2 linked regions of the Drosophila melanogaster genome follow. The protein of the gene in region 2 purifies or fractionates together with the protein of the main gene of each other region. This does not show direct contact. Each region holds a gene or a part of one and is shown on either strand. Other genes may lie near its edges.

Evidence for each region. Proteins that work in one complex are often made in the same cells at the same time.
Region 1: the proteins of Wdr82 (region 2) and Set1 purify together in Drosophila melanogaster (affinity purification with mass spectrometry, with the first as the bait; one large-scale study listed by BioGRID). This does not show direct contact.

What each region holds. Positions count from the first base shown.
Region 1 is NT_037436.4:25,105,603-25,110,593, reverse strand, and holds the start of Set1 (SET domain containing 1), read right to left. Parts: upstream 3,001-4,991; 5' UTR 2,964-3,000; intron 1,598-2,963; exon of another isoform or gene 1,356-1,597; intron 1,317-1,355; exon of another isoform or gene 1,294-1,316; 5' UTR 1,250-1,293; coding exon 990-1,249; intron 935-989; coding exon 685-934; intron 631-684; coding exon 1-630. UniProt on the Drosophila melanogaster protein: Catalytic component of the COMPASS (Set1C) complex that specifically mono-, di- and trimethylates histone H3 to form H3K4me1/2/3. Binds RNAs which might negatively affect its histone methyltransferase activity.
Region 2 is NT_033779.5:8,372,747-8,376,075, reverse strand, and holds Wdr82 (WD repeat domain 82), read right to left. Parts: upstream 1,616-3,329; 5' UTR 1,550-1,615; coding exon 596-1,549; 3' UTR 527-595; downstream 1-526. Other genes in the region: CG13390 (uncharacterized protein), read left to right, coding at 1-514; CG17292 (uncharacterized protein), read right to left, coding at 1,948-2,092, 2,162-2,536, 2,788-3,195, 3,323-3,329. UniProt on the Drosophila melanogaster protein: Component of the SET1 complex that specifically di- and trimethylates 'Lys-4' of histone H3.

The DNA of each region.
Region 1 (4,991 bases), on a different chromosome or scaffold from region 2:
TTCAGCAGATCGGTCGCGATCTCTCCCGCGGTACTCTCGATCTTTAGATGAGTTATAATAATGTTCTCTTTTTTCTCTGGGCTGGTCTCGGCCTTTTTCATGAGATCTTTTACGGTCTCGAAACGACTCTCGCTCCCTAGAACGACAATAATCACGAGGACGTGAATCTGAATCTCTAGATCTTTCTCTTGTCATGATCAATATATCCCGAGAATCTTCCGGCGATATATCACTAGAACGGCGTCGATAAAAAGTACGGCGACGCCTTATTGAAGTTCCAACGTTTTCTCGCATTCCACGATCACGGTCATAACTTCGCTCTGACGAGTGTCGACTGCGCTCCTTAAAATGGCGATCTCTTTCTCTTTCCTTGTCGCGATTCCAGTTTCGATCCCTACTGCGGTTTGGAATTTCATGATTGGTTTGTGTGGTGTAGATATCCTTTATGTGTTCGCCGTTCTTTTCAGGATATCCGTGGATGAATTCGGTGTCCTCCAAAGCCGCCTGCTGAAATGTCCATTGCGGTGTTACTTTTGGACCTATTAATTGTTTTCCAGCGACTGAATTTGTAAGGCTCTCAAGAGATTTTTTTAATGTGGCACCAAAAGGATCGCAAAACACATCTAAGATCTACAATACATAGATACATTAGAACAAGACAAAAGCTGAAAAACTTCATCATACCTTTCCCATTACAGACTTTTGATTGTATTTTTCAACGAATTGTCTCGCTCCCTTTGTACTATCAAACACTATACGTGCAATGCCCAAGTGTTTGTTTGTGATGGGATGATGGTAAATATTTATTTCATCAGATGTTCCACATTTGTCCAGCATGCTAGCAAGAAATTGCTTGTCGATGTTATCATTTAGGTTCACTATTGTAACTTCGACTGCAGGTGGCTGGCCCACGTAGTCGCTATCGATGACAAACCTATGGGTACGGACCAGGTGTTTAGCTGAAATATTTTAATTTAAGCAATGGTTACCTCGGAATAAGAAGCATAAGTGGTTCAACAGCCCTGGCGCGTATGCGAATAAGTGGATTCCGAGGATCTCTAGGTGTTATTGTTGGATAGGACGGGTCTCCTGGCATTAAACCATCGTAACGATAGAGTCTGGTACCACATTTAACCAACTGTGGATCAGATAGCAGTTTAAAGTTGCGCGGCATTTTGGAGTTTGCCAGAGACGAATCATGGCTGTTGCTGGAATTGTTGACCAGGTTGATATTCCGAACGTCCTGCATCTGTGTCAATTATGAACAAACCTAAAACTCAGGAACTGTAAAAGCTATATATAACACAACAATTTTAAAGAAATTTATTGCTTCTTGAATATAAAATCTTACATACCTATTTTACTTATTAACAAAATAATAGAATATAAAAATATTTAGAAATATCACAAAAAATTTTCTGCGATGTTTTTATTTGAAAGGGATCAACAGCGAATATATAATATATAATTATATTAAAATCGTTCACGCTGCTTTTTTAATTAAAAAACAAATAATTAAATTACTTTTTTAATCATTATATTGGTTGGATGATAAAATTAACTCTCAAATATATGAAATATTGAATCACAATGCAAATAATACACAAAAACGAGGCTTTCGATTTCTAGGGGCGATAATTATGAAATCGATTTCGTAAATAATAACTAGTTCAGACTATGGCTAATTTGGGGAGTTGGGTAAATGTTGTTTCTATATTTCATAATACCGTAAAGAAAATTCTAGGCCAAGAAAAGTTAATAATCCGAATCATATATTACATTTAAAAAAAAATACGTATTACTTTCATGTAGTTGCGTTGCCTTTAGTTGCATTTAAGCGTTCTTAATCTATAACCCTATAATATAATATATATTATATATAATATAATATATTCTTAACTCTATAATATAATGGGCGAAACTGAACGGTAATTAAATACATACCCCACCAATTTTTATTAAGAATCAAATAAAAAGTTTGGTTGAAGTCAAATCTATTTTTGTTTTAACTTTTGTGAGTTCTGTGGACTTCCGAAATACTTCCATAAACATATAAGTTTTGTTTTCGCTTCGAAAATAAAATTAACAAGCAAGATTTTAATAATTTCAGTAAGAATTTCAATCTGAAACTGATTTTACAAAGTGCATTATTCTTATAATAACGGTTTTTATCAGTGACAAGGACACGGGCAGCGAAAATGGACTTTGGTCAGAAGATTTCGATTCCTTAAAACTGTTACCTGATGAATACGTAAACGGGATGGATATTTTCTTTAAAAAAGTTTTAATGCTGACTAATTGGTTCGAACGCTCTTTGTTTAAAAGTTTGAAAAGTGCTTATGTCTGCTGTCGACGGTAAAGGCGTGTGAAATGTTTGAACCTAGGTTGCTGTCGATCGTGAATAAGATTTATTTCGCCTAAGGAGTTCAAACGTTTAAGTGGTATTGATTTAAATAACTTTCACAGTAGGCTCTGGGCTTATGTTGATAACAGGGTTTGGTGTCTAGGTTATTTGCATCACTTATACATTATATAAGATTGAAATAAAAAAATTACGTTTTAATACACAGCTGTGTTTTTATTTGTTAGGGTTATATCAGTGAGTTGCCAAGTGTGAATCTGATTTTAAAAAATGAATTATTCTAATAACTACAGGGGATAGCGTCGTCAACTAGCCTTTTTGTTTTAAAGTTTTCGTTTAGATAAGAAAGCATAAACAAGACCACAGGTGTGCTCGATAAGTTGGTAGATTTTTGCGATTAGAAACAACACTTAACAAGATACACTTACAACAGTTCGGATATGAAATTATTTTAAAAAACAATATTTTAAATAGATCTTATGAAATATACACTTTCGTCTCCCTATATACACATATATTTTTTCGTGTTTTTGTAAGTAATTTGTTTACAGTGGGTTCAGTTACAGCATAGCAGCCCCAAATTTAAAAAAAACTAATTTACTTTAACTACAGATTTTTAAGTCTCCTCCGGACACTCTCCTAATGCGCTTCGTCACCACGTGGATTGCTGTCCACAGTTAATATTTTATATATTTCTATATGTTGGATAGACGCGTACCCAAAAAGTTTTAGTTGGTATACAAATTCTTAATGAATTCTTTCCCTTCCTAAATTCTGATACTTCATGTAATGTAAGATCGTCCTAAATAAGCCTTTTTTTTAAAAAAAAATGTATTAAAATATTAGGCAAAGCTGGCGAAACGCCATAACTTAATGCATTAATTCATTTGCTTCATATGTATATTGGTAGAAACTCTTGTGTGACTAGACTCTTTCTCTTTATTACTAACATATATCTAATTTAAGTATTTGTTGCTTCTGTTAATTTAAGGTTGAAACTCTTCACGGAGTTTTCGATGCGTTTTGAGCTGTTTTTACCTTTATCTTTCACTTTCCTAAACTAAATTAGCTTGTATGTATGAGTGCTACATTTTAAGACATTTTAACATTTTATAGGCATCGCGTTAGAGCTTAGCAAAGAACAAAAGAGAAGGCTATAGTCGAGTTCCCCGACTTTCAGATACCCGTTACTCAGCTGGTGTGAATTCGAACGCGATAAATATTGGGGAATTAAATGAGAAAAAATTTAAAAGCTGTTCAAAAGTGTCGGCGTGACCAGTTTGTGGCTTTAGAGCGTTAAAGTGGGTGTGGCAAATTTTTTTTTGGCAAATCGATAGAAATTTACAAAACTAATAAAAAATATCGGCTTGTGGGCGTTAGTAAAAAACATCAAAACATTTATGAAAGTGTGCTGCAGTTTTTTAAGGCTTGTTAGAGTGGGTGTGGCTAATAGACTTTGTCTTGTCGGTAGCAATGGACAAACAAAATAAAATGAAGCCTTTTGCAAGCCTTTTTCAAAAGTATGGATATAACAAATTTGTGCGAATTTGGTCAGTGTTTTAGAATAAACTTGTCCTGTGTGTACGTCAATACGTATGATGATTTCTTCGGTCAATAGTTTCCGGCTTGTTGAGTCAACGATGAGGGGGCTTATCGATTCACGATTTGGTGTTTAAATGGATTCCGGATCGCTCAATGATTACTCTTAAATGGACCAAAATTGAAAGGCATAGAAATAAGGCGCGGATCGTGATAAAATGCTTTAAAGTTTAGTCTTAGCCACACTGACGAGCTTGGCAGTTGCAACTAAACTTTTCACTTTTTGCCATGCCCACTCTAACGCCCACAAACCGCCCTACGCTGCCATACATTGATATTTTTCATATTTTTATTGTAAATTTCCATTGATTCACCCCAAAACTGTTTGCCACGCACACTCTGGACCAAAACTGTCACGTTCACAGTTTTGAAGAATGTTAATTCGGTTAAGAGCTTATTTGTTTATTTGTTTGTTACTGAAAATAAGTCGCGCCAACAGCTCCAATGACTCAAGTTCAAATGGGTTTGTACCATTGGATGACCGCGAAGTGCAGGAGCAGGAGCAGAAAAAGATAAAGCCGCCACCAATTTATATACGTGAGAAAACCTCAAGTGCGCTGGTTAACAAGCTAGCTGCAATTATCAGAGAAAACAGTTCCATGTTACACCACTTACTAAGGGCAACATACAAGAAACGAAAGTGCAGACTTAGGATAAGTCTAGCCACCGATCAGTGTCCAAGTACCTGAACGAAGCTGGGATAGTAATAGAGACATCAGTGACCTCATCCGAAATTATCGCGGCACTAAAGGAGAAGAACTATAACGTCAAAACGGTAATCAACATTCTCAACATTCTCACAGGAATAAAGAGCCGCAGCCACTCTTTAAATTCGAACTGGAGACATCGAGTCAGAAAAACAACAAAAATGAAGTACATCCTATATATAAGCTACAGTATTTACTGCCCCGAAGAATAACCACAGAATAGCGACACAAGCGCAGGCAACCTGTGCAGTGCACCAACTGCCAAGAATATGGCCACACCAAAGCGTACTGCACTCTAAAATCTATCTGCGTCGTTTGCAGCG
Region 2 (3,329 bases):
TGGTTACCCCAATGCTGGCAAAAGCACCCTACTGAATGCACTGACACGGGCCAAGCCAAAGGTTGCTCCCTACGCCTTCACCACGCTGCGTCCGCACTTGGGAACCGTCCAGTACGATGATCATGTCCAGCTCACCATTGCCGATCTTCCCGGACTCGTGCCCGATGCTCATCGCAATAAGGGCTTGGGCATACAGTTCCTAAAGCACGCCGAGCGTTGCACCTTGTTGCTGTTCGTGTTAGATGCCAGTGCACCGGAGCCATGGACGCACTATGAGCAGCTAATGCACGAACTCCGCCAGTTTGGCGGACGTCTGGCGAGTCGCCCGCAATTGGTGGTGGCCAATAAGCTGGACGTGGAAGAGGGCCAAAACAACTTTGAGGAACTGCAACGTCGCCTGCAAAATCCCGTGCTCGGCATTAGTGCCAAAATGGGTCATAATCTTGGACAACTCCTGAACAGCATACGTAGAGGATACGACCGCCACAAGGACCAGCCCCAGGAATCCAGTTAGAGGCCTCTGTTTATGTTATGTTGATTTATTATTTATAAATTAAATTGTAATCTTATAAGCTAAGCAAGCGGGAATCATTGCCTACAAGCCCTCCTCGGATGTGGGCAGCCAAAAAGCCATGTTGGTGCACGCGGACGCCAGCATCATGTATTTTGGATTGAACTGAACGCATTGCACCGGTCCCGGATGGTCACCATTCAGTACGGACACCTTATTGCCAGTGTCGGCATTCCAGATGTGCACTCGTCCATCGGTGCTGCCTGAAAAGATGAACTGCGAGTCTGGGCTGAAGCTTGCCTCGATGGGAATGCCCTTGTTGTTTGGATAGCCCGTGAACGTTTGTAGCGGAGTGCCGTGGAAGGCATCTACGAGCCGGATGACCGATCCATTCGTGCTGATCAGAATTGTTTTGCCGTCACGGGAGAACTTAAGGCCAGTCCAGTCGCATTCCTTCTCCTGATTAAGTTTAAATGTGACGAAGGGGCCTTTGTCGAAAGAGCGAAGGTCGTACAATTTAATGCTTTCCGAGTTAACGCCAGCGGCGAAGATCAAGCCCTCGGGATCGTAGGCAGCAATGGGTCGTCCAGAGAGATGCATCAGTCCCTGGCAGTTGGGCGAGCGCAAGTCCCACAGGCGCAGCGTCTTGTCCAGCGAGCCGGAGAGAAAGGTGTCCTCCACCGGCGAAATGCACAGCGAGATAACCTTCTTGGTGTGGCCGGGGAAGTAGCGCAGATATTTGTTGTCGTGCAGGCTGAGATAGCGTATGGTGTCGTCCACCTTGGTGGAGCTATGGATGGCCGTGTTGTTGGCGTGCGTAAAGTGGATTAAATCCACTCCATACTTCTTCGAGTTCACCGTGCGCGACTGCGTCCCCTTTTCGCAGTCGTAGATCACGATCTGGTCATCCTCGCTGCAGGATATTAGATGTTCGCCGTTGGGCGCAAAATCGATGGCGTTGATCTTGTCCGTGTTCTCTCGGAAGATCTTGGCCACCTTAAAACTGCGCACCACCGAATCTATTAGTTTTATCTTCATTTTAGCCTGTCGAATTTCGTTTTGTTGTCAATATGCTCAATTGTTGCAAACAATGTTATCGGTGGCAGAGGTTGACGGGTCGATAGCTGTGTTATCGATATCGCAACTTTCGAACTGGTTCCGGAATGAATTGCAAGAGCGGAACCAGCAACCAGATTTAAATTATTTGAAAGTTCAAAAAATCCATTCAAAAAAAGTAATTAATAAAACTCATTTAAAACCCCAAATAGTGCAATAATAATGTATAAATACCCCAAAGTAATGCAAAGTTTTTTTCAACAACAAAATTTAAGTATATTTTTCTCGTAAATCAAAATGTGGTGTAAGGCGTCATAGAAACAACAATATTAATATAGCTACATTTCATAATGTACACAGTGCAATTGTAGATGGTCTTATTAATTCGTTTTCTCCGACGGGCAGTCACAGGTGATGCTGTGGGTATTTCCCAGCAGATCCTTGGGGTCAACGTAGACAGTGCCCTCCTTGCCTCGAGCAAAAGGTGTATGTCCGTTGGTTTGTAAGTAAAAGTCGCCATGAATTCTGAAAATCACAATTTCAAATGATGAAACTAAATTCTGCGCTATGCATATAAGGCAAGTAGAAACTTACGTCGTGGGACAATGATGACCCATCACCACGGGCGGGCAATTCTCTACTATTTTGTTCTGCTTGAAGTCCGACCATTTCTTGGCGGGCACAGCATCGAATCCAATGGGATATCGATCCGAAACGCTCTCGGCCCAGAACCACCAGCTCCTCCGATGACTGGACAGATCGTTGTCGCTGAGCATCTTGTAGTTTCGCTTGGGACAGCCAGGCTGCAGGCTGTATCCACCATTTGGCCAGAAATCCGCCGTGCCCGTGCTCGTCGGAGCTCCGTACAGCCAGGCGTCCGTGTGTATCACGTCGACGAACTCCGCATCATTGGCAGACAGGTGCGTGCCCGGATAGAAGAGCGGAAATGCGGGATCCAAAGCGGAAATTCTATAAAAGAAGATTGGAGATAAGTGAGACAAGAAAAGGATTCAATATAAACTTTATAAACTTTGCCGAACAACGATTCTAAAAAAAAACTTTTTGTATTACCATATGGTAATACAAAAGTGTTAAGCTTTGGACATTAAAATTATTAACTAAATATCGTATATTAAACATCGTATATCATGACGTCGGCATAGACTAAAATCGAACCGAGCATGAATAAATAATTTGAAATCAAACCTCTTTCATTTTACCTTTTTATCTTTCTGACACCCTTGGTGCGTTTAGTAATCTCTCGGCCGAGGAGTCCGGCCAGCTGGCCGCCCATCGAGTGTCCGACAATGTGGAACTTCTCAATGTCCAGGCCATGGTCGAACATTTTGAGCAGGACCTTGGCCAACTCTGGGCCCAGCTGTTTGAGGTTCGGGAAGGCATCGAACATGTAATTGCCATCGGCCAGTTCACCCCAGTCTAGGACGATAAGATTGGTATCCTTTCGCTCCAGATAGGCCTCGGCTATGACGTGAATGCTCTCCACATCCGGATCTTCCAAGTAGCCGTGCAAATAGAGCACGGTGTTCTTGCCCAAATCCAAGTGCTCGTCCTCCAGAAGACTCTGGAAATCGGTTAGGTCATAGATATCGCTATCTGCCACCGTGGGTCTGTGAATAAAAGATAATGCTATAGGTGAATACTTGAATATATTTAAGAAATTTGGATATTAGTGCAATAACATGGCTTTATGTATAATTTTTCTTCATATTTACTAATAATAATATTAGTTCTTACCCATAAT